Linked DNA regions of Drosophila melanogaster. The protein of the gene in region 1 interacts with the protein of each later gene in a pairwise test. Each region holds a gene or a part of one and is shown in the gene's direction. Other genes may lie near its edges. The genes, in order: ps, CG15167, ftz-f1 and Rbp1-like.

The links.
Region 2: the proteins of ps (region 1) and CG15167 interact in a two-hybrid assay, tested with the Drosophila melanogaster proteins (one large-scale study listed by BioGRID).
Region 3: the proteins of ps (region 1) and ftz-f1 interact in a two-hybrid assay, tested with the Drosophila melanogaster proteins (one large-scale study listed by BioGRID).
Region 4: the proteins of ps (region 1) and Rbp1-like interact in a two-hybrid assay, tested with the Drosophila melanogaster proteins (one large-scale study listed by BioGRID).

What each region holds. Positions count from the first base shown.
Region 1 is NT_033777.3:9,430,034-9,436,709, forward strand, and holds the start of ps (pasilla), read left to right. Parts: upstream 1-2,568; 5' UTR 2,569-2,688; coding exon of another isoform or gene 2,689-2,806; intron 2,807-4,232; exon of another isoform or gene 4,233-4,370; coding exon of another isoform or gene 4,371-4,389; intron 4,390-6,676. UniProt on the Drosophila melanogaster protein: Functions to regulate alternative splicing in neurons by binding pre-mRNA in a sequence-specific manner to activate exon inclusion.
Region 2 is NT_033779.5:18,738,287-18,742,512, forward strand, and holds CG15167 (uncharacterized protein), read left to right. Parts: upstream 1-2,071; 5' UTR 2,072-2,123; coding exon 2,124-2,474; 3' UTR 2,475-2,521; downstream 2,522-4,226. Other genes in the region: CG42752 (uncharacterized protein), read right to left, coding at 1,232-1,720.
Region 3 is NT_037436.4:18,797,665-18,803,917, reverse strand, and holds the start of ftz-f1 (ftz transcription factor 1), read left to right. Parts: upstream 1-2,608; 5' UTR 2,609-3,810; intron 3,811-5,062; 5' UTR 5,063-5,186; coding exon 5,187-6,253. Other genes in the region: CG14073 (uncharacterized protein), read left to right, coding at 1-89, 188-855, 921-1,136. UniProt on the Drosophila melanogaster protein: Acts as a cofactor to fushi tarazu (ftz). Facilitates the binding of ftz to DNA. Binds the sequence element 5'-YCYYGGYCR-3' in the zebra element of ftz. Probably functions as a nuclear receptor for a yet unknown ligand.
Region 4 is NC_004354.4:13,379,541-13,386,456, reverse strand, and holds Rbp1-like (Rbp1-like), read left to right. Parts: upstream 1-1,579; 5' UTR 1,580-1,768; coding exon 1,769-2,157; intron 2,158-2,833; coding exon 2,834-3,188; 3' UTR 3,189-4,707; downstream 4,708-6,916. Other genes in the region: Ype (yippee), read left to right, coding at 26-113; Tim9a, read right to left, coding at 665-796, 862-957, 1,061-1,120; CG1640 (uncharacterized protein), read right to left, coding at 6,876-6,916.

The sequences.
Region 1 (6,676 bases):
CTGGGGACTTTCGGTGGCGGCACACTTCTCGGAGGTTTGGGACTGAGCGACCTGCAGCTGAAATTTGAATTTGCGACTTTTATTCAGAATTCGAGACGCTCGCCTCGAATGAGAATTCTTCTACGAACGTCAGCGAAACACAATAAATAGCCGATCGAAAAGCATTAGGTGAATTAATTGAAAAACTCAAATGCCAAGTCGAGGCGCAAAAGCAACTGGTTCTCTCACAATAAACGAAAACCCGTTTTATAGCGCAGGCCATCGCATCTCCTGCTAAATCGATCTTAGTTTCTTGATTTTTGTATTTGTAGTCGCACTAATTTCTTAAGTAAATGCAAATTTGTGCGACCTACCTGTTTTGTTCTCTGTTTTGTACTGCGCTGACGACAGGTGCTGTGATTACACTTCGACAAATAGTAGATACTTAAGTGATTATATAATAGATTGTTTGATATTGGAAAATTGTTAGCTAGAGAAGTAGTGCGCCTTAATGATGCATAGAAATAAAGTAATACTTTCGCATTAAATGATATAACTTAATGCTTCTACACTTCAATTTTTGTTCTTGTTCCTGTGCAGCGCATGCCATACAGTTGCAAACGCGTATCTATCAGTACGCATTCTGCCGTGTATCTATATATCTGGGCGCATGCTTAGCATTGAACGACGGTGGCTTTTGCCATCTCTTCGATTTATTGCTCATTTTGTTTTGTGGTCGGTGCTAAGCGGGCACGAACAACAGCAAAATGAGTAAAAAAAAACTTTTTCAATGGTCAAGGTCGTTTGCAGTCAAATCGAATAGCCACAACGCACACTTGAGCCCCAGCACTACCAACAGAAATAACATATAAAAATGTTTGTATAATTAAACGCCATTTTAAACAAATAAACGCGCGTCGTCAGTCGTTGATGCAGATTTTGTTGTTGCTGTTTCTGTTGGTCGCGCTTCGGTTTTTGTGTCGTCGCATTTTTAATTAGCAATGAAATCATAATAAAATAAAACATCTCATGCATAATTGAGTTGCAAGTTGGGGCTTCATTGCCATGCCATTATGAAAAAAAAAAAACAAAACTGGCTCAGGTATTCATAAGTAACTAAAACTGCTTCGTGGGTACGGACTCGTTTAGATAGGTCTTAGGTGGAACAAATTTAAATTAACGATTCATAAGCGCAGTAGAGTGAGTTATTATTAGCATCGCGGTACGGCAGGATTTCTCAACATTTTAAATTGGCCAGCATTATGTCGAACTCAACGGATTAAGTAATCAGTATAATCAGTATTATAGTAACAAATAAAATAGGTAGCTGTAAGATCCTAAATATAAGGTGTAGGTACCGAGTTTTCGCAGACCTTCTAACCTCATACACACACACGGGATCCTTTCTTATAGGGGGCCTGCTTTCAAAACTATTTCTGCGGACTCCTGTAATTCATCCTGTCGTCTGCTTTCCATTATTACACGTTCTCAACGCTCACAAGATTGCTTCAAACCGATCTGTCTCTATCCCACATCTGCCTGCCCCGGTATCGTTTTGATATGTGAATGCCTAACACGATCCACGCTTTTGAAAGATCCGCCCAGTCCAACCCGAATCCCGCCACGCCCCTTTTTTCCACCAATCTCGCAAGATGCCTTGCTCGTTTTGTAAATAGCTTTTTTGAAGACGAAAGATCAAGACAAATCAAATCAAATCGATCCAATTTAAATGTTTGTGCCTATCTAAATGTGTGTGTGTTTTACTACTCGAAAAATGCATTGCCACTCTGACAACTGTATCTATATCTACAAGTTTAATGCGAAGAACATACCTATATATTGCCTAAATGTTTACTGTATGTATATTTATTATTGCTGCATAATTCACTCATAAATATTTTTTTCTTTTTCTTTTTTCATATAAACGTTAAAAAAAAAAACTCGCACATTCCACCACAAAACCACCAAACAAAAACTAAAAATAAAAAACTAAATGAAATTAAAACTGAAACATAGAAGGATCGTAAATAGAGTATCAATATATGTGCATATGCATATATAGCGACGTACACGAACTGTCTCTGTCACTGATAGCGATCGATAGCTGTACCTCCATGTGTGTGCATGAGTGGCAGCATCAGTAGCGTACCCAAGGACCAAGGACCTCATCCACATAGCCCATCAATCTCACAGATGCCAGTGGCGGATTCCCCCCGATAAAGGCATCGAATCGAATTACATCGCATCCATTGGACGAGGACGAGGACTAGGACTAAAGGACAGTGACTGACGCATCCTGCGCTCGTTTGATCGTTCGTTCGCTCGCTCGCTCGCTCTATCGCTCTTTCGCTCGCACGCACCAAAAAAACCAAACAGAAATACCAGAAACAATACCAAGCAAGCCAAAAACCAAATAATACAAAGCTAAACAGACGCCTCATTACCAAACATCGAACGTTTCGTTGTCGTTTAACAAAAAAAAAAAAAAAAAAAACCAGAAGCACAGCAACCAAATTCAATTCAATCAAATCAAGTCCAAGCCAATCCAATCCAATCCAAGATCCAATTAAATTAAATCAAGCCGAATCCACGAGACATAGAAACTGAAAAGTAAACAGTAAGATCAACAGATCAACGAAACCCAAAGCAAAAAGCTAAAGCAATCATCAGTCAAAGTCGATAACCAAAACCAGCAACATTCAGTTAAAAATGGCCGAAGACGCTACCATGGAGACATGTCCAAGTCCTGAAACCGGCGACTCACGCAAAAGGCCACTCGATTCCGATCCGGAAAATGAACAAACTAAACGCTCACATTTCAGTTCCGGTAAGTTGACCAAAATCCAATCCAAATCCAAATCAAAATTCAAAATCAAATTCAAATTCAAATCGAAATCAATATCGAAATCGAAACTCAATTCATTTCGCCAGCAGAAGGAAGAAATTGAAATATATATCTCAAATCGCTCTTGCATATCCCCATTATCGTGCTCTCTCTTTTTCTCTCTGTCAATCTCAATCTCGATCTCAATCTCAGTTTCAATATCAATCTTAAGCTCCTCAACTCGACGCTCTGTGTATATCTATCTCTCGTTCGTTATCTATTTATCTATCCATTGCTTTTTTATCTCCGAAGCGTATAAATAACTGATTCAATTTGTTTGCCCAACTTTTCTGCCGATCGTGCCGTTTCCCTTCTTTATTATGTGGTCATGTTGTTGTTGTTGTTGTTGTTATCACAATATATCCCCCCGATATGCGTACCTACATATATCTATGTATATATATACTTAGTATCTATGATTTTCTTACTTTTTTCTTTTAGTCGTTTGTCGCTCGTGTTATTTATTGTTGCTGTTGTCGTTTGTTATTCAGATTCAATTAATCAGCACGAGAAATTCATTTGCAGTTTGCCCCCAATACGTTCGATGTCAGTTTTGCAACCGAACAAACGAACCAACGAACGAACGAACAGGCAGCAGACTTTGATTCGTAATTAAGCCAGATATGGCGTATACGCCCCGAGGGCCCCCTCTACACGTACACAGCTACAGTGTACATCTTAAAATGACAACTGGCATCTGTTATATGGCATACAGCGGTATCTAGTACCTAGTGTAGTATCTGCCTGGCTGGCGGCTGTATCTTTGCGCAGGATTTGGCGCCGAGACATTGTGGGCCCAGTTTGACCCAATTTTGGGCATGACCTCCGCCTGCAATCTCCTGCAGCTTCATCAATGGCCTGCAATTAGATACAAGTGCTGTCCGTGCACGTCCCTGAACGTCCAAACGAATGGCATTTGAAAAGCTCCTCCCTGCTTCACTCATCCGACAAACTGAACTGCAGTCGGGACAGCCGAGGGGGTCACAAAAATTCATATGGAGATTAGCATTTAAAAGAAGAAGCTCCCAATCCGTGAGCTCCATTGCCAAACCCATACTGCCTGTCTGTCAGTCAGTCTGTCGGTCAGTCGGTCTGACCACAAGCTATTAACTAGTTGCTTTGCATGATTTGTTCGGCTCAAAACCAGCTGGCAAGCTCCAAGGTGAGCATGCCACTACGCAATCGAAGTACCTGTCGTCATAGCCACGAAAATAGCAAAAGGTGTAAGTGTTAGAGTCGCACTGTCGCCCCCGCTGGCTTTTGGTATTTAGACGGATAGCAGTGGCTAGAGCCAGAAGCGTGTAAACGTGTTTTCGAGTTTCCTAATTGTCAATTGGAAATTATGAAGGGTAGATTAGTCCTCGGTTTTCGTTCATCACAGCAGGCTCTCTCAAATACGTCAAGTGTTAAAATCCCAAAAAAAAAAATATCTACAGAAAATAAAACAAAATTCCAGTGTTGTCTTAATGTTGCATCAAAAATTTTAAGTTTTATCTCGTGAATTGGAATGCGGAAGCTTTGTTCGAGTAAGTTCAAGTTCGTTAAATAGGCAAATATAACTTATTTCCATATACTCCACTCCATTCATTAAAGCAGACACTATATTATATGCTCGGGGACATCCATAGTTAATGGGTTAGTTCTGCCTAAGAATTTGTTTGCTTATGAACAATGCCATTTTATCAGCTGTTTGTTTGGCCAGTTTCCATTCAAACCGATGGCATTATAGATGAGCCCAGATAAATAGATTCGTTACATGTATGTGTACAGCTGGGCATTTGTAATTAATTAGCCACCATTGAGGCTGCCTGTTTGCTGGACAGAGAACAGGTCCATGTCATATGGTTTTGGGTATTTACTCACGTCGTCGTTTTATTAGTTTTCTGGCAATTTATTTGCTTAGCTGCCTTGACAGTCATTTGTTTTTTGTGTGCTATCTATTTAATTTTTTCAGTTTTTTCTTATTTATGACTGTCATGGCTGGAATTCTGTGTAGCTGGTTGGTGAGAGAGCAGCGCAAAGTTTTTGAGATGCACAGAGAAAAATAATCTTCTTAAATTCTAATAAGTATTTAAGGTGTAAGGTTTTAAAGTTTAATCCAAAGAAGTTAGGAAATTCAAACAACTTTTTGTCAACAATTCTTTTAAGCAAGAATTCAACTCTTTACCATATACTTAATTTTTTTTTGACTTATTGTTTTCCGTGTAGCCTGGACTAGAAATGCGTCAGTTGGCGGGGCTGCTGCAAAGGAAATGCAGTAAAATCGAGGAAAATCGGGGCGGTGGGTCAGCGTGGAGGTTTTGGACGACTGGTGGCGTGGCTTATGTAATCAGTACTGGCAGGGCAGCTGGAAAAGCGTGCGAATAGTTGGGGGTGTATACTGTAGCGAACTCTAGTTCGCCGTAAGAGAGAGAAGCGAGAGCTGCTCTCGGCAAACGTTGACAGCATGGCAAGCGGTTGACCTACTTTGATGACAATGCGGGTGCGTACGTGTATCTGTATCTGTATCTGTGTGTGCCTGTGGTCGCTCCGCTGCCATCGCTGCTTGCCTGCCTGCCTTTGCTCGGTGCTTTTCGTCTAGGAAGGGTCCTGCGCAGTAGGACGACTCGAACTCCTCGAACGCGGCGACCATTCAGCTGCACTGCAGCATTTGGCGCCATTGCAGCTGCCACAGCAGCCGATGCAGCCGCAGCAGCCGCAAACGCAGCAGCAACGTCCTTGAGTGGTGGGTCCTGTAGAACTGGGTTGGTTGCCTCGATGGCAGGCTGACTGACTGCCTGGCTGGCTAGATGCAGCAGCTGAGAATGTGGTATGGCAGAATGGCAGTATGGCAGTGTGGCATGGTTGAATCTCAAGTGCGTTTACTGCCTAGGGGCTGTGTGCTCTCTCGCACTCTCACTGTTTTGGCCACAATCTGAACTGATATCTCTGTGTCGTGTTTTTGGGTTACCTTATTCTTAGGTGCATTCCATTGTTGCGGCTCGAGTGGCCAGGCATTTGGTGTGACTGCACTTGTAGAGCATCTCGAGTGGCCTACTAATAACTCAAGGGGCCAGGCAGTTTGACATTCTTTTCGGGCCAGTGATTAGGACAAGCCCGGCTTGCCTCAATAATTGGGTCATCTGAAGTCCTTATATTACGCATACGCAGCGTGGGTCAGTCCCAGTGGTAGCACAACTTGAACTCACAACACTTTTCTCGTATTTCACAAGCTCTGTTAGTTGTTCCTATCTTGAATAATTGTAATTGTGTAATCTTAAAGATTAAAACTAACAACGGGGCAGACTAACTCGCTTTGATCCCTCTTCTCGCCATTAATATTATATGCCTCTAACCGAATTTGGCTACTACTTCACCGTTTTAAATCGCATTTTATATAATCTCAAGGGCTTTAAGCATAACTTCCCGTTGTCATTTATGGATCGCTTGGCAAATCGTTTGGTTTAGCTTCCACATTGAATTCTCATCGTTTTGGTGGGTGAAAACGTGACACGTTCACTCTTTTCGCCGCTGGCTTATCACGTTGGCTTATTCCGTATCACATGTTGCCACAGCAGTTTCTATTTTCGACACACACGCCGCCCCCTTTTGTGTCTTCGCCCCCTGTTTGTGTATTGCTCTCTCCCCGCCGCTCTTTGGCGTTGATAATGAACCGAGTGACATGGAGTGAAGTGAGGCAATCATCGGCGGGCCAGCATTAGATCATATATACAGACAGAAACGACGACGACATCATCATGATGATCATGATCATCATCGTACACTCTGACTCATGAACCTCACTCGCCTCACTTGCACTGGACAGACTCTCCG
Region 2 (4,226 bases), on another chromosome or scaffold:
CTTTCCCAACGATCCATCTTTACCCATGTCACCGATTTGCCGATCCCCCACAACCGTCCACTGGAAGATTAACCAAAGCGAGGAGCGCGACAAAAAAAGAAATAGAAATCTGATATATTTGTCTAACATCTTCGGCATTAAGCTCACCCCCAGCTCAAAAACGCGAGATTTCCGCATTAGAAACGATTTTTTAATTATTATTTTCAGACGCCTACACGCAAAACCGAAACCCGATGGCTTCGAGTGGATGCTCTGCTCAAATGTCAGGCTTATTAATACAACAGCACCAACAGATCTCTTCAAGCTTCAAGTGCTGGGGATTTGTGGCCGGGGTACGAGATGCGAGATGTGAGATCCGAGATCGAGTTGAGGACGCTGTGCATCTTTATGTGGGAGTGCGGGCTCCATTGATGACACGTCATTTGCTGGCATAGACATCTTCGTCAAATGTGTTAAGTTGCGCTAAGAGGGAAAATGAAAACAGGTCTTCCAGTTCAACGGCAAGAGTGTCAGTAAAATGTCATGGAAAGCCACTTAGCTGGGAGTTTTTGATTTTCGATTTTTTTTCTGTACATTTTCTGAATCGGATTCGCAGCGTCCCCACATCCGCTTTTGGAGGAAAATAAATGCACGTGAAACAAGCAATCCGAAAAGGTAGCTAGCTATCAAACATTTGTCAATTTTCCTGCCCGGAGGTTGGTATTTGGTATTTGGTTTTTGGTGCGATTGGTTCTAGCTCGCGGGCAATGCTCAATTACGGTTTTGATTTAAATCAGTCTACTGACCCCAAAAGTTCAGCTACGGAAATTGCAAATTTAATAATTGACTGGCTCAGAAAACTGTAAAACCCAAACCAGGGGGCTTATTAATGCGATAACCTTGGCTGATTTAATTTCTGCCGTCTATTCGCCGGGCCTGTGATTATCCAGCGAACAAGAAAACCAAACCAAGCCAAAACAAAAACAAAAACAAAAAAAAAATACAAACAGCGACTTCCATAACAACAAAAGGAAAATCAAAACTTGCACAATTTCGACACTAAACGGCGATGTCTGGGCCACTCTTCGAGTGCCTCCGAGCTGCCAGTTAGTCGCATATTTAATTAAGAGATTGAGTGCCGCAAATAGTGTTGAACAATGGCCAGCACGAGTCGCATCCACACTGCGAGAAATCACTGCGACTAAAGAGAATCGGGAATTGTGCTGGCATAGTCTTAGCTATATATTGTCCATTAACAATTGACGAAATATTTTAAGTTAAAGAAGTCGGAATATTTTGCGAACAAGGCTTTAGTTGCCTCGGTTTCCTCTTCCGGTTCCGGTTTTTGATTCTTGAACCTCAGAAAGCAGTCCTCGTATATATCTCCCAGAAACTTGGCGCCCTTAGGAACTCTATCCTTAATATTAAATTTCTCTTTGTTCGGATTGAAGCATAACTCGTAGGCTGAAAAAGTGACTCGTTGGTTAAAGGGTTCTGGAATGCAAAACCTCAGAAGGTAGGGCTTTATCCGGTTTAAATCTTTCCGCTTGCCATCCATCACTCCAAATGCTTGTTTGCCCCCGTGGGTGAATACTATGTATCCGGTTATATGGTTTTTGTGGCAATATTGAAGAATTCGACGCGGAAATTGGTTCCTTGACATTATGTTGTACAACTTAAACTCGGTCCTAAGTTGAATATCCTCATTGAACATCCAATCGTAGGACCCTAATAATGTCATTTCTTGTTTAGTTTTGCTGAAAGATATGCAAATAACTTAGGGCTATAATTTTGGATTGTACTGAGTGTTAAGCTAAATTTACTGGCGTGTAGGTTTGTTTTTAAACTAAATTGATTAAACTGATGACTTACGCAAAGCATAATTATTAATTGACATTTTGTTTTAAAATACGTTTCCTGATAGTTTATAAAAATACTTTTTACGAAAATCTATATAAATATAAAAGTATAGCATTTTTAAAGATTCAGAATTTGTTTTAAATGCTTACCTTTGGATGGATCAGTGATGTTTACTCCACGCAAATTTTTCGATTATATATCATCAGCAGAGTAACTTAGGAAATCTGGATCATTTATTTTCAAAAGCCGTGAAAACTCACATACTCAAATTTCCATTCCCAAAAATGTCGCTGGAACTGGTACTCCAACCGCAGCCAGAGATCTACCTATTAGCGTATGAAATGAGTGTGCCCGAAGATTCCGATGAGGCCCTGCTTTCAGTTGTGGCCCACAAAGCCGCAGAACTTAAGGTGTGTGGCTACATCGCGCATACGCACTGTGGCCGCAAAGTGGGCGGCGAACTGGAGGGCAGCTCTGCTGGCCTGCAGATGATGGTCGAGTGGATGCAGGCTAGGAGCCAGGGGAATCATCTCGGGGACGGGGAGAAGATCAAAAGCCAGATGAAGGAGCCACGATTCTCGAAGTGGAAGCTGCAATCAGGGGCCCCCAAATACGATGTTTTCTTCTGTTGCTGAGTGCTGACGAGAGGAGTTGATTAAAAATCGCAAATTGCATTGGCCCCAGAATATTGTTTCGAGTGCATTTTCATCTCATAAACCATAACAATCAGTGTCGGCCGCTGCTGCTGCTGCTGCTGCTGCTGTTGCTGATGTTGCCGCTGCTGCAGTTGGGCCATTGAACAATAGCCCGGCTGACTCGAAGCTGACTTTTCAAAGTCAAAAACGCGATTGTATCATCAGTATTTTTCGGGGCGCGCTCCCTGCCTCTGCCTTTGCCTCTGCCCCTGATTTTTCGTTTTTTTTTTGTCTAACCATTTTCAGATTTTTCCGCTCGGCGCTGGCAGATAAAGTAGAGGAGCCCGAGTTGCGGCGAAAAACAATCGAATCAATTCATTTTTCTAGGGCGTACTGTGCCACTTGAACGTTGAACTGCAGACGCCCCAATGCTGACTACCGCTGAGGTTTCGCTTTTGGGCTTTCCATCTCCTCCGGAGTTGCCATTGTCTGCTATCAAGACGGCAGCACGGTCTTGATCGTGCCCCGGCACTAGTCATTTTAATTTTTCAAGATTTTCCGAGCTCGGCGCTGCGCGCTGTGCTGTGCTTCTGCGCATTTCGCAATCTGAACTCTATAAATCTCTCGTGCCGGTGTGTTAGATTTATGGGTTATGGGCCAAATGGGAGCGGGCCAAGCCAAATGTTCTACGGACGGCACAGAAATCGGCGATCCGGGCGATTCAATTAGATCTAAACGCTGTCAACATCCCGGCACTAATAAGCAGCAACATTTCGGGCGAGGGGTGGCCACAGCCCGAAAAAAGTGTAAATAAAACCAAGAGTGTCGTCTGGCCTGTGTCTGTGGCATAATGTTGCATAATATTTTATGCATGCAGAGCTGGCAGATTGCAACATGTTGCCATGTTGCAGCTCCAACTTCGACGCCGGCCCCGGCCGATGATGATGATGATGATGCATAGCCCCAAGAATCGCTGAGACAGCCAAGCGCGCTGTGGCGCCCCTCCCTGAATCTCAATCTGAATCTGAGTCTGGAAATCCTGCAAACCTTCGCGACTTCCAGCTGTGTGTGCCCGGGCTCAAAGTGTGTCGAATATTCAAGTGAAAATTCCGCCCCAGCCCCCAAAGACCCGCTGCGATGCATCGCGGAGTCCTCCAGAGTGCGGCGCTTCGATGACGTTGAGCTGGGATTTGAATTTCGGATTCGACCATGTGTTGGTTGGTGTCTCTCTGCCCATGCAGGCATGCCCATACATCGACACGGAGAGAAATCATAATCTGCACAATCATGATGTATTTAATTGTATATTAGAAACTTTAAAAACTGTAAATATTATAATACTTATTCTGTTCGATAATATCATTTAAATTTAAATGGTGCAATGCTTGTTGATCATTAGAAGTATGTAATTTTGTTGGCAAATAATAGGTAAAATTGATAGGTACGAAATACAAATATGTTATATATATTGAAAGAAACACAATAGTTGGTGACTAATTAATGTAGTTATTAATGCGTGTTATTTTTTTTTACTGCACATGCATCTGCCGGTTATGGGATGTATCTACATATCGTATGGTATCGTATCGTATCCATAGGTGGGTAGCTCAGAGTCTCAAGCGATGGCGTTATTCCCTGGGTCTTGGTCTGGTATTTGATTAGACGGCAAAAGGTGACGGCGGCAAACTTGATCGCCGTGTTGTTGTTGTTTCTGGTTTTGTTGTTTCGCTGTTGGCTGATGTTGTTGCTCTG
Region 3 (6,253 bases), on another chromosome or scaffold:
AGGCATTCTGCGCGCTCATCTCAGCGATGCACAAAGTGCCGCCGCTGACATCAAGCCAATGCGATTCAATGGGCCTTGGGAGATATTTGGTGAGTGGAAGCAAATAGTTCTTTGCCATTGCATACAATTAAGGATAAAACTAAAATATGAATGAATTTGAACTAAACCATGCATTAATCTCTTCCAGATGCTAAGGAGTATGGTTATGATATATTCAGTAATGTACCGAATACAGCTTGTGATATGAGCAGAGCTCTACGTAAAGAAAGGAAGGAGGCCAAGCAGCAGAGGATGAGCAGCAACAGTGACAGGACCAGCAACTTGAATGGTCTGTTAGCGGAAAAAAAGGAGGAGCAGAAGCCCGAGGATTTGGACCAGGATCGGGTGACAACAACGATCAAGCAGAACGGGGAGACGAGTGCAACAAAGACTGGATCGGCGACTACGACGACGGCAACAACGATGGTTAAATTGGAACTGGGAACCGACGAGGATAGCAATAACAATAAGAACAACGAGGAGCTGAATGCTAATGTGGAAAATAATTTAGTAACAAGCGTTGTGAATGTCAAGAATGAAGTGAAGAAGGAAGTGGAAGCTGAAGCTGAAACAGAAGCGGAAACGGAAACGAATGCGAAAGCAAATACGAATAGTAGCACTAGGCTAGACGAGGATCAGACGGACATCGAGACAATGGATAGTGAATTGAATGGTGATATTTTTGAATTTGAAGAGGCCGATGTGCCCTTGCCACCACTGTACTTGCTCAAAGACGAGGGCAGTGATAAATGGGTACTACTCAATGATTTGTGCAATTTACTTAAAGTTAAATCGAAGGATACGTTGCTTAACAAGGTATGTGCCATTTAGATGCGATATTTAAATGAACTTATAACAAAATCTTGTTATTTTTTTTTTAGCTCTGTCCGAACAACAGCAATGCCTTGGCCAGCAGTCAGAAGCACCTGCTACGGGAGTTCAAGATAGATGATTTCCTGGAGAAAGCCACCTGCCTGCAGCTGTTGTGCGCCGGTGAAAAGCTGAACATGTTCAGTTCGTCGAAGGTTGTGCTCATCAAATACAACGACAGTGTACGGAACTTGTTGGGCGTTAAGACCATTTTAATGAAATTTTAACCGAGATATCTTTAGCGATTGGACGGGGCAAGATCCAGAAAGATATAAATTAGATAATGATGAATGGATGAGCATAGTACTAACTGAACATAGAGTGTAAAGTGCAAACAAATATGGAAAAACTATTAGTACGAATATAATAGTAGATTTATATACTATACATATGTATATTTTAGCTAGTAACTAGTTTTTACTCACACGTCTTTGTCTTTGGAAGATAAAGGATTTTATAAAGGAAATTAAATTTAGAGCTAATGCAAAGTGATACAAAGGTGCTATACACACTCAAAACGAAGAAAAAGGAAATGAATGGAAATTTTAGAGCGAGAATATTGAGAAAATCTGGAATCTTTAGGGATTGGCTGCAATTATGCAATAAAAGTAGAAGAAAACAATGCAAGGCAGTTAGAAACGAGGAAACGAACGGAAAATGTATGCCAGCCAATCAGCTAATAAATTGATATATACTTACAGATAAATCTAGGGATGAAGTGTAATCTATGGTTTTTAAAAAAACAAAACAATCTAGCTAAAGTATAAACTAAATAATAATTATTGTAATAATATTAAAGAAGCAACAAAGGCGTATTTATGTATTATGTATTTTTAAATGAAATTATTAACATAATATATAAAGTATATGTATACACAATATGATCCAACTACAATGTAAATCAATTTTCAGATAGGTTTGTAATTTTCTATGTAATGTACGTGTGTAAGTTTTGTGCAACTATAAAAGGAAACCACAAAAAACTGAAGAAATTTAACAAAAAAAAAAAAACTAATAATGAAAAACAAAATAAATGCAAAGTGAAATTTTGACAATTTAAAAGTGCGGTTTCACTTCAAAATTTTAACAATCTCCTGGCATTTGAAAACAAATATCGATCCAAGCTTTTATTAAACGATTCTTCAAAATTGGTTTAAAAGGTTATTTATATATAATAATAGATGACTGAACAGGTAAGGTCTTAGATAAGTACTTAAATATACTTAGAGGGCCCATTCTTTTGAAAAAGTATAATTATATCTTGTGAATATTTAAATTCGTCTTCTTCTTTTCCTTTTAAATTTGCAATTATTTGAACTAGATAATCTCATTGTATTTTTTATTGCTTATTAAAATTTATGTAATATTTCATTGACAAACCGCCACAGTTTTGAATTTACGATCTATCGATAACTTGGCGATAGGTTCCGGCAGATGTCGCTCTCAAAAGCTCGCCGCACGAGCGGTGCGCTAAACGCGGGTGTGCGTGCATGTGAGTGCTTTCAGCTGAAAGCTTTCCGGTTTTCATATGATTGCCGTCCTTGTTCTTCAAACGATTTTTAAAGGCCAAGAATGCTGCCTCTCTGTCCTTGGCCCCGCTCTTCGCTCCGGTGATCCAACACTATCCCGACCGCGCATGTGTGTGTGCGTGTATGCGCGAGGGCTTTCGGTCTTCTTCTACCTACGCCAACAAACTTTTACTGTGTGTTGTGTTCCCGTTCGAGTTCGACCTAATTTCGCTCGAGACCTAATTTTTGCGTGCGGAATAGTTTTTCCCGAAAAAGTGAAGCCAGCGAATAAACAATAGCTGAAAGTGAGCGATAGCCAAGAAAGTAAGAGTGAAAGTAAACAAAAGCGAAAAGAAGAACAGCTCTGGCGTTAATTATGTGTGTGTACATACGTATATATTTAATATTTCCGATGCGTCCATAACGGGAGTGTGTTCTGGTTTCCAATCGTCGCCCGCGCCCCCGTCATTGCCTATCCGTTTACCAAACCCCAATTTTGGTGTGCAATTGTGTATAAAAATTAACACAAAGTGGGAAGATAGCGTTGTGTCATAGAATTGGAGCAGAAGCAAAAACAAGGCAAAATTAGCAAAAGCCAAGCGGAAAAACAACAACACAGAGTGCCCAGTGGAACCCCAGTACATGTGTGTATATATGTATGTGCGGTGCGAGCGTGTCAGTGTGTGCGTAGCAGGAATTGCAATTTATAGTTGTTGTTTCTGAGAGCTTTCGCTTGTTGCGCGCGTGCGACGATTGTGCAAGAAGTTCTTGGTGTGCGTTCGAAATCGGGAAGAGGAAATCGCCGAGAATAGAGGAAGAGTAAATGGCAATAAATGCAAAATAAATAAAAGAAATAAATAAAAAAAAATATAAATAAATTGCCAAATGCGTTTGGCGTCGCGTGTGTGTGCGTGTTCTGAAATATGCTGAAAGAGCTTTCGGAGAGCGAGAGCAAAAGAGAACGAGACGCCGAGAGATGCGATCGGGAGAAATAGCAACAACAACAACAACGGCAACAGCGACTACGATCGGCGAAATGAATCACACACAAGCTTTGTTTTGCGAATTATAAATTCGCGTTCCGTTCTCCACACATGCGAATTCCCACACTGAGAGCGAGACAGAGACAGCGAGAGAGAGGGAGACCAGCTACGGCTACAAAAACAGAAACAGCAAGAAGACCAAGACATAATAATAGAACTTTTGCTTTCGCTTCCAACTGGTTTTTGTATACATAAAAAGCGAGAGGGGAAGAGACGGAGAAAGAGAGAGACGGACAGCTTCCAGCGCTTCTTCTTCTTCCGCGATCTTCGTCTTGGAATTCATGGAACCGGGCGCATGCGCAACACACAGAACTACAAAAGGAAAAACAACGACGTCAGCTGCATGAAAGGTAAATTCTCAATTCTCCCCGCTGCACGACTTCCTCTCGCTCACCTTTTACCCCCCAAAAACCTCCTTTTCCATTTTGTCTAGTTGGGTGAGCTTTATTTTACTGCACTTACCATCTTTAATGGGAAGTAGGAGCACGGAATGAAATACAGTTTTGACACGAATTTGATTTAAAAACCATCATTATAAGAAAACTTTTTAAATAAAATCACCTTTTTGTTTGTTTAAATAAATTTTACTGGGATCATTATATATATATTTTTTACAAAAATTAATGTGGTTTTAAAAATTTGGATAATAAACTGAAAATTGTATCAGCAGTTTATAGCTTTTTATAGTTTTTTTTTATACATTTTCTCGTATTTTCCACTAAGATATTTTTCTTTTAAAATATTAAATATAAAGTTAATGTCATTTGCTCAATTTTTTTCCGTGGATTACCCGAGGGTTGGTGAGATTCAAGCACGAAAAGTGAAGAACTTGAAGTCGAGTGAAGTTAATTAAAGTATCGTTAAAAAGGGTAACACAGGGCTTAAAAAAATGGGGGAATCTTTCCAGTTGTCTGTTTCGCGAACTGGAAAATTACTGTAAATGGGGGAATAAACAATTTAGCGTGTTAATTTTTAAATGGATTTTATCTACTCGGAAAAAATAATTTGGTTAAAGATGCTTTTAATGCATTAACTTTTTTTTTTTTTATTAATTTTTGTAATCTTGTAAAACAATTGCATTTTTAAAAAAACTTTATTTTTCAATTTTTAAATTAAAGATTCTCGACGTCTATTTTGAAATTTAATTTTTAAACATCGGTTTATTGGTGAAATTGCATTGATACTGATAAAAATAGTTTAGGCACTCCTAAGCTCTACGGAGGTATATATTGTGGACTTTCGACGATTTAGTTAAAAACCCTAAACAATAATTAAATAGTAGAATTATAAAAAAACTGAAATATAACATAATAAATTGGGTGGACATTGAAGTGGTACAGAAAAAGCTTTGAAAGCTTTCTCTCCCCACAAAGAGTTGACCTTGGCCTGCTTCAAATACCATTAGGCCTTTCCTTGGCCCACATTCTCTGCGACCTGACCTTCAACCTGACCTTGCATTAACCTAGGCCTTTGAAATCCTTGTCCTACTTCCTGAAAATTAATATTTATTACTAGAACGGATTGATTTTTGGTTTAGACGGCTTTAAAAACGCTTAGAATTTTTTTTTGATTACTAATAATCTGCTTTATTACCATTTTCAGGTCTTTAAAGCAATTATAAACTTACAACTACTATCGTTACCTGCCATTAAGAATCAACAAAACAAATACCACACATCACAACGAAACGTACAAAAAATAAAAGTTAAATTATATTATTCATAAAATGGATACCTTCAATGTACCTATGCTGGCGGAGAGCAGCAACACCAACTATGCAACAGAAGCTACCAGCAATCATCACCACCTGCAACATCAGCATCAGCAGCAACATTCACATCAGCAGCAGCAGCAGCAGCAACTCCTAATGCCCCATCATCACAAGGATCAAATGCTGGCGGCGGGCAGTTCGCCCATGCTGCCATTCTATTCACACTTGCAGTTGCAACAGAAGGATGCAACTGCAACAATAGGACCTGCAGCAGCAGCAGCAGCAGTTGAGGCGGCAACAACATCGGCAAATGCCGATAACTTCAGTTCATTGCAAACGATCGATGCCAGTCAACTGGATGGAGGCATCTCCTTGAGCGGCTTGTGCGATCGTTTCTTTGTGGCCAGTCCAAATCCCCACAGCAATAGCAACATGACACTAATGGGCACTGCCACAGCTGCAACAACTACCACTACCAACAACAACAATAATAACAACACTAACAATAACAATAACAACAACGTGGAGGCTAAGACAGTGAGGCCATCGAACGGCAATTCGGTGATCATCGAATCTGTGACGATGCCATCGTTTGCCAATATTCTATTTCCCACCCATCGCAGCGCCAACGAGTGCATTGATCCCGCCCTGTTGCAAAAGAATCCCCAAAATCCAAATGGCAACAACAGTAGCATAATTGTGCCGCCCGTCGAATATCATCAATTGAAACCACTTGAAGTCAATTCGTCGACTTCCGTTTCCACCAGCAACTTCCTGTCCTCCACAACGGCCCAATTGTTGGACTTTGAGGTGCAGGTGGGCAAGGATGATGGCCACATTAGCACCACTACGACCACAGGGCCGGGCTCTGGATCGGCATCGGGTTCAGGATCGGGATCGGGATCGGGATCAGGATCGATTGCACGCACAATAGGCACTGCAACGCCCACAACGACAACATCCATGAGCAACACTGCCAATCCGACGAGGAGCTCATTGCACAGTATTGAGGAGCTGGCCGCCAGTTCCTGTGCCCCGAGAGCAGCGTCTCCCAACAGCAACCACACTAGCAGTGCCAGCAC
Region 4 (6,916 bases), on another chromosome or scaffold:
ACTAATGCTCCAATTTATCTCTTAGATACAAGGAGGGTCGCGTTATCCTGGAGTACGCCCTGATCACAGAGGCAGAGGGCTTTCCGTCGGAGGCCGCCACCACGAGTCATTGAGCCGATTGAATATACAGCCGGAAAACGGGAACCACGCATTGGCGAACCTTGTGTAGCCCTAAGTATTGAGTAGATGGCCACAGGCGATGGCCTCTATGCATTAGACCTAGATTAGAGATCGCCGTAGTCGGCTCCGGTGTTCGGGATACCGAAGACCGATATATCGGTTGCACATCCGCCACGGAGCACATGCGACTACGGCCCTGTCTTAACGTGACTTAAACGTAATTGTAGGCACATCTAGCACGTAAGCAGCTGCGGCGCCCAATTCTACCATTTAAATGTCATGAGGCTGAAGTGCTAAAACGAAAAAGATGGGCTGCTACTCAGCTGGAACATATTCGAAACTGATGATCCACACTTGTCTTTTTCAAACAAGATCTCTAGGCCGTAATCAATCAGCAATAAAGTACCACAATAATCGAATAGTAGATAATAATCGTCGGGATTCCGTCAACGCGTTTCTTTACTCAGCTATTTTGACAAATGCAGGAAAATGCATCATCTCAGTTGTCTAAACTAGTTAAGATTGTTTGTAACAGCTATAACACCTAAAGTTTGCCAGTCTTTTGAGCCATGGCCAGTGCGTTCTCGTGGGCAATAACCTGGAACTCCTGGAAACGCTGCGAGACGCGTTGGTTCATCTTCAGATACTTTTCCATGCAGTTCAGCGAGCACTTCTCCTGTGAAATGGATGGGCATATTGAAATCGCTGATTTCCACATGGAGCTTCCCCACGGGCACTCACCTCGGAATCCTTAACATCCCGCGTTGTAAAGTCGCGTATGCAATCTGTGAAGCACGTCTCGGACAGTTTGTTGTAGGACATTAGGAAGTCGGAAAACTGAAAGTTAGAACCGAAAACATATCAAATGAAAACCACATTGCATCACTTGGCACCGCCGGTCCTTGGCATGAGATGGTATCTTCGTGTCAACTCTGCTTACCGTCTTAATTTGATCCTTGTCCAACTGATCGATGGCTATGTTTTCCGGTGTCTTAGCCATTTTGTTCTGCGATATTTTATTCAAAATTGCCGAAACGAAAAAGGGCCAATAATAATGTGCCTATATAATAGGGACAGCTGGGTGTGCAGGGTTGCCAGATGTTAAAAAGCCATTCCGTGTTCTCGACTTATCGATATGTTATCTTTTGAAGTATGTTATGTGAAGTATCTGGTTCGGCCGACTCAAAAATTAACCACATCTAGTTTTACTCTTAACATCGGGTATATGAAATTAAGCAAATGTATCCATACATAAATTAAGGTATATTTATAATAATACTTTAACTAAGTACCCTTAGGTTGTGAAACATTTAATTTAAACTATTAAATAGAATAAAATGATATTTCAAAGATCGATATTCCTATAAAATATCGATAGTCGCATATCTTATGGTCAGCGCTTTACGGTACTGCACCTCGTTCACTTTTCAACACTGGAGGGCACGCCATCTTTTTTTCCTCACAAACACTTTTTTCTGCTCCTGCTTTGTGGGTGTGCTCTTTGAAAAACCAAGGAGAATTCCCTCGGAATAGCATCAAAACAAACTGGAAAATTGACTTTGGACAAGTCCAGTGGTACAACAAATACCAAAAATCCATTACAGAACCGGAGGAGCAGCACCTCCAGCCACATACATATTCATACATAATGCCACGCTACCGTGAATGGGATTTAGCCTGCAAAGTTTACGTGGGCAATCTGGGATCCTCGGCCTCCAAATACGAGATCGAGAACGCCTTTAGCAAATACGGACCCTTGCGCAACGTCTGGGTGGCCCGCAATCCGCCCGGTTTCGCCTTCGTCGAGTTCGAGGATCGTCGCGACGCTGAGGATGCGACCCGTGGCCTCGACGGCACCCGCTGCTGTGGCACCCGCATCCGTGTCGAAATGTCATCAGGCCGTTCACGAGAGGGTCGCGGCGGTGGCGGTGGAGGCGGCGGTGGTGGAGGCGGATCCGGTGGCGGCGGCCGCGGCGGTGGCAGTGGCGCCCGTGCTGGAGGCGGTGGAAGGGCTGGCGATGGCGGTGGACGCTATAGGTGAGTACGGCACAAAAGCATTACATTTTGCATCCCCAGAATAAACCAGATAAACTAACTAACCAACCAACCAAAGCACCCACTTACTACCACTACCCCTCTCTCGAGATTATGAAATCATAATTTTTGCCATTATGTGCAAAAAAGTATGCAAAAATATATATATAAATAAACATATGTATACATATTTATATAGCGTGTGTGCTTGTGTGTATGTATGCATGTGAAAAATCGATTCGCGTATACATACAAAAGCGGTGCCAGCCAAAATACACACAGTCACACATACGGTGGGACACCACTGTTAGCCATACATAAACACACACAGTGGCGTCCGTGAAAAAGAACAGTCCTACCGCGCGCACACAGTGGCGTCCGTGGCCGACAGTCCTGGTTGCTTTTGCTACGTCAATCGATTCTTTTTAGCTCGTATTTTGTTTTTTAAGGGGAATCTTGTTTTAGTATCACATTTCATTGCTCATTATATGCACCCCGAGGTCCATAGTTTAAAGTTCAAAGAGTATAGCTTTAACTAGAGAAAACGTTTTGTTTGTTGTTTTTAGTAAAATTACAAAATACAAGAAAAATGAAAAGAAAATACAAGAAAACTTAGTAAAAACAAAGTAAATCGATCGCTTGGAGCCAGTTTTAATGTGGTCTCACAATCATTTTGCAGGATAAAGTCTTCTTCTTCTACTACAACAAGCACAACAAGAACTACTACAACAACAACATCAATAATAATAATAATAATGATAATTAAAAGAACAACAAAGAAAAAAGAAAAAACAACAACAGCTACTACTACTAGAACTTCTACTACTCCTCTTCCTTCAACAACAACAACCAAAAGAACAACAACAACAGCTACTACAAGAACAACTAGTACAACAGCAGATCCTGCTCCTCCTATTACACACATTTCACCAACAACAACAACAACTACAGCCACCACTACACCACCACCATGCAATAACAATTTGTTGTGCGGCCCTAACCAGAAATTCAACAAATTCGATATATTCCGCTGACCACAAAACCAAGAACCAGAACCAAACCGAACGACCGCAACACTACCACACCCCCTCCACCACCTGTTCAGCTCAACCCAGGCAAAAAAAAAAAAAAAGAAAAACAGAACAGAAAAAAATGAATCATCAGCAACGTCTTCGGCTCCGCAGCTTCAAGAATAATGCACCCAAAACCAGACCGAACACCACCCACAGTCACCTAACTATACATTCCACTATGGGGCACACGACTAGCTACAAACTAAAGAAAAGAAAACGATTTAAGTAATCTTCGATCTATGCCTATTTTGAATAGGATTTAGCTGCTAAACGTTGGTCTTTTTTCTTTGTCAAATAACAGAATATTGCTTTGGAATATAAATAGGATTTAGCAAACGAAGATGGTCGTATGCCCCACAGTGCATTCCACATTTCCACATCATTTATAGTCTGTTAGTTGGCAACATCTTCAGGCTACACAACAGACACACTCACACAAACAGCCATTAACCACACTAATCACCAAGAACCAGAGCGAACCGATCGTCGGCGGCAACAGAGCAACTTCATCAAGAATCCAAATGCCAAAATGCATCTATTGCATATTTATATATATATTATACACACACTCACCAGTCCAGCAACGCTTCAAAAAGTCAACTTCCTACGTCTCCAAGTTGTGCGGTTGTCTTCAGCCTGCTCCTACGTCCCCAACAAACCACCCACCACCTCATCATCCGTCATCTTTAGTGCAGCTACAGCATCAGCAACAAGCTACAGCTACAAAGACCAACTGCAACAACAGCTTCTACTTCTACTACTACTACTACTACTACTACTACTACAACAAGAACATCTGGCAGCCAGTCAGCAAATCGATCTCGAGGCTGAAAAGCCTTTGGTAGACTTTTTGTTGGTTCCACCACTCAGTAGTTGCACCTTTCCCTTGCAATCAAACCAAGATTGAGGCTGCTTCATGCTAATTCCTTCAATCGCAGCAAGTATGAAACCTTTGGCCGCCACCAACAACACTGTCCCTCGAACCGAAACGAAACGTAACGTAACGCCTCTAACAAAATCCGTTTGTTATACTCGTAATTGTAATTATGGTTGTTTTTTTTTTTACCTTTTGTTCTTGCATCCTAACATCTACTGAGATAATCTTGTTCGCGCTAATTGTCTGCTCTCTGTGTGTAATATACAAGTATATTGTGTAAATGTGTGTTTATATGCATTGATCCGATCAGCTCGAACTCACAGTCAGACAGTTCACCAACAAAACGACCCCACCAACAATCGACCAAAGCACCAGCAGCATCAGCAGTTCAGGGCAGGGCAGAATCTTCTTCAAGCTCGCAACTTCACAGCGCGGATGGTAGGAGCTGCACCGCCACCACCACCAAACCACAACCACCAACCTGATCCTCTCTTGCTGCTAACTGATGCTTCCCCACCAACTGCTTCTTCATACGACCTACGTTCTTCGGCTGCTGCAACAGAATAGAATGATTCACCAATATATCCACCAACAACACACACCAAAAAAAAAGAAATAATAATAATAATAGAAACACAACACAGCCACCCTAGTCACAGTCAATCAGCTCAGTATCGTATCAACAACAACAGCCCAAACTACAACAGTTCAACAAGAACCTACTACTACTACTACTACTATTACTACTACTACAATTCAACAACAACAACAACAACAGCCTTCTCAGTCTGCTCTGCTCATCAACCAACTAAGCAACCTACCAACAAACCAATCAGCCACCAATCCAACCAACCACCACCAATTACTTTATGTAAATGTCACACCAACGCTTTCGTTAATGGGGCAAAAAAAAAATATATATATATATATATATATCAGCTATATCTCCACCACCTTCAAGCACCTTCAGCCACCAAAAAAAAAACTGAAAAAAATTACTGCCAGCTCTCAGCTCCGCTCAGCTCAAATTAAAGCTCCAATGTCAGCTCTCCGATCCGTATCCGATCCACCAGATCCGTCAGCCCAAGTTGTGTGTTGTTTGATCGAGACCACTCTTATCAACTTTACGTATCTTAAGGAATTGTTATCTAACTACACGACTAGTTAAGTTACTCATTGGTGCAAAATCTATTTAATTTGTATTTTCTCTTTCTCTTTCTCTTTCTTTCTCACCTCTCTCTTTCTGTGTCCTGTATGTGTGTGCCGGGCCCAATATGTTTTTCCCCAAACGCTACCCATTTCATTGCAGATCACGCTCACCCCGCCGCTCAAGGACACGCAGCCGCAGCTTTTCGAGGGATCGTCGCAGTCGCTCCGACTCCAGGGACCGCCATTAGATGAGAAGAGTAGTAGTGGGATGCAGCCCAAAACTGGACTCCACAACACACACATATATATAGATATATATATATATTATACATATACAGAGATATATACATAAAGTAGTACGGCCCCAGAGTTGAGGACAAAAAGGATCTGTTTTGCCAGACGAAAAATGGCTCAACAGATTTCTGAAGTTTGACTCAATAAATTCGTCCCCCTCCATATAATAACCCCCCCCCCCCCACAGAGAACAAAACCAAAAAACAAAAAAAAAAAAGGTATCGAGCAACTTCACAAAAGACCACCACACAACCCAGCCATCTCTTCGATCCGAATGGTTCGCTAGTATAGCCACAGTACAACTATGGTACACATTGGTTTTTAGGCCTTAAGACTTTGGTAGATTTTAATTCAGAAAATGAAAAGATAAAAAGAACAAGCCACCAGCGCAACTACAACTACAACACACAAAGAGTGAGGCATCCGATGAACAATGGATGTCAAAGGTAAATTTATTGTATGTCCGCGAACCTAAATTATTTATCCACTTGGTTTTTACCCTAAATCTGTCGCAACACAAAACATGTCAAGAGAAAAGTGAAAAAAAGGTACTATATGCGATTGTTTGGCGTAAGTGCAAGTAGTTACATAAGTCGTGAAATGAGAATCAATAAATTGAACCTAATTTAAAACCGAAAATATACACAATGGGTGTTTTTAATGGGAATGTCGGGATTTTCAGCTTTTCTTAAAAACAAATTACAAAAGGATACCCATTGCCCAAATTGAAATTAACGCAGCGCTGGCTTAACAATAATAATTATTTATTTATTTTCAAAGTTTCTTCTTGTCTATAACAATTAGTAATGACTTGAACGCACACACATCATATGATTTTCGTGATCGATTCGCGGGGGATAAGCACATGCAGGGCTATATATATTTATGTGTAGATAAATATAAATATACACAATGCAAATAACTTTCGTTTAGAACAATATCAGAATTTTCAATTATGCGCCGACCAAAAGATGGTAAACTACTTTTGGTTCTAACAAAAATTATTGTCAAATCTCCGCCAGGAGTTTTCGTTCAATTAAGAATCAAAGACTACATGGTTAAGTGGGTTAATTGCTAACTGGAAACGTTATCGTGGCGATAAAACCTGCGCGGGTTGGGTTCACAAATCATAGGGTTTTAAAAATGTTTTTATATATTTCTCATATATATCTATATATGCATATAAAGAAGAGCTTAGAAGCATTCAGCTATGACACAGTAACAAAGAGGAAAAAAAAAAAACAATTAGGGTAATTTAAATTTTTAATCCTAAGCCGGAGGATTGACACTTAACACAGGGATCGAGGACGGGGAAGTTGGCAGCTGATCTACTTGTACTTCTTCATGAACTCGGCGTGGAACACACGGA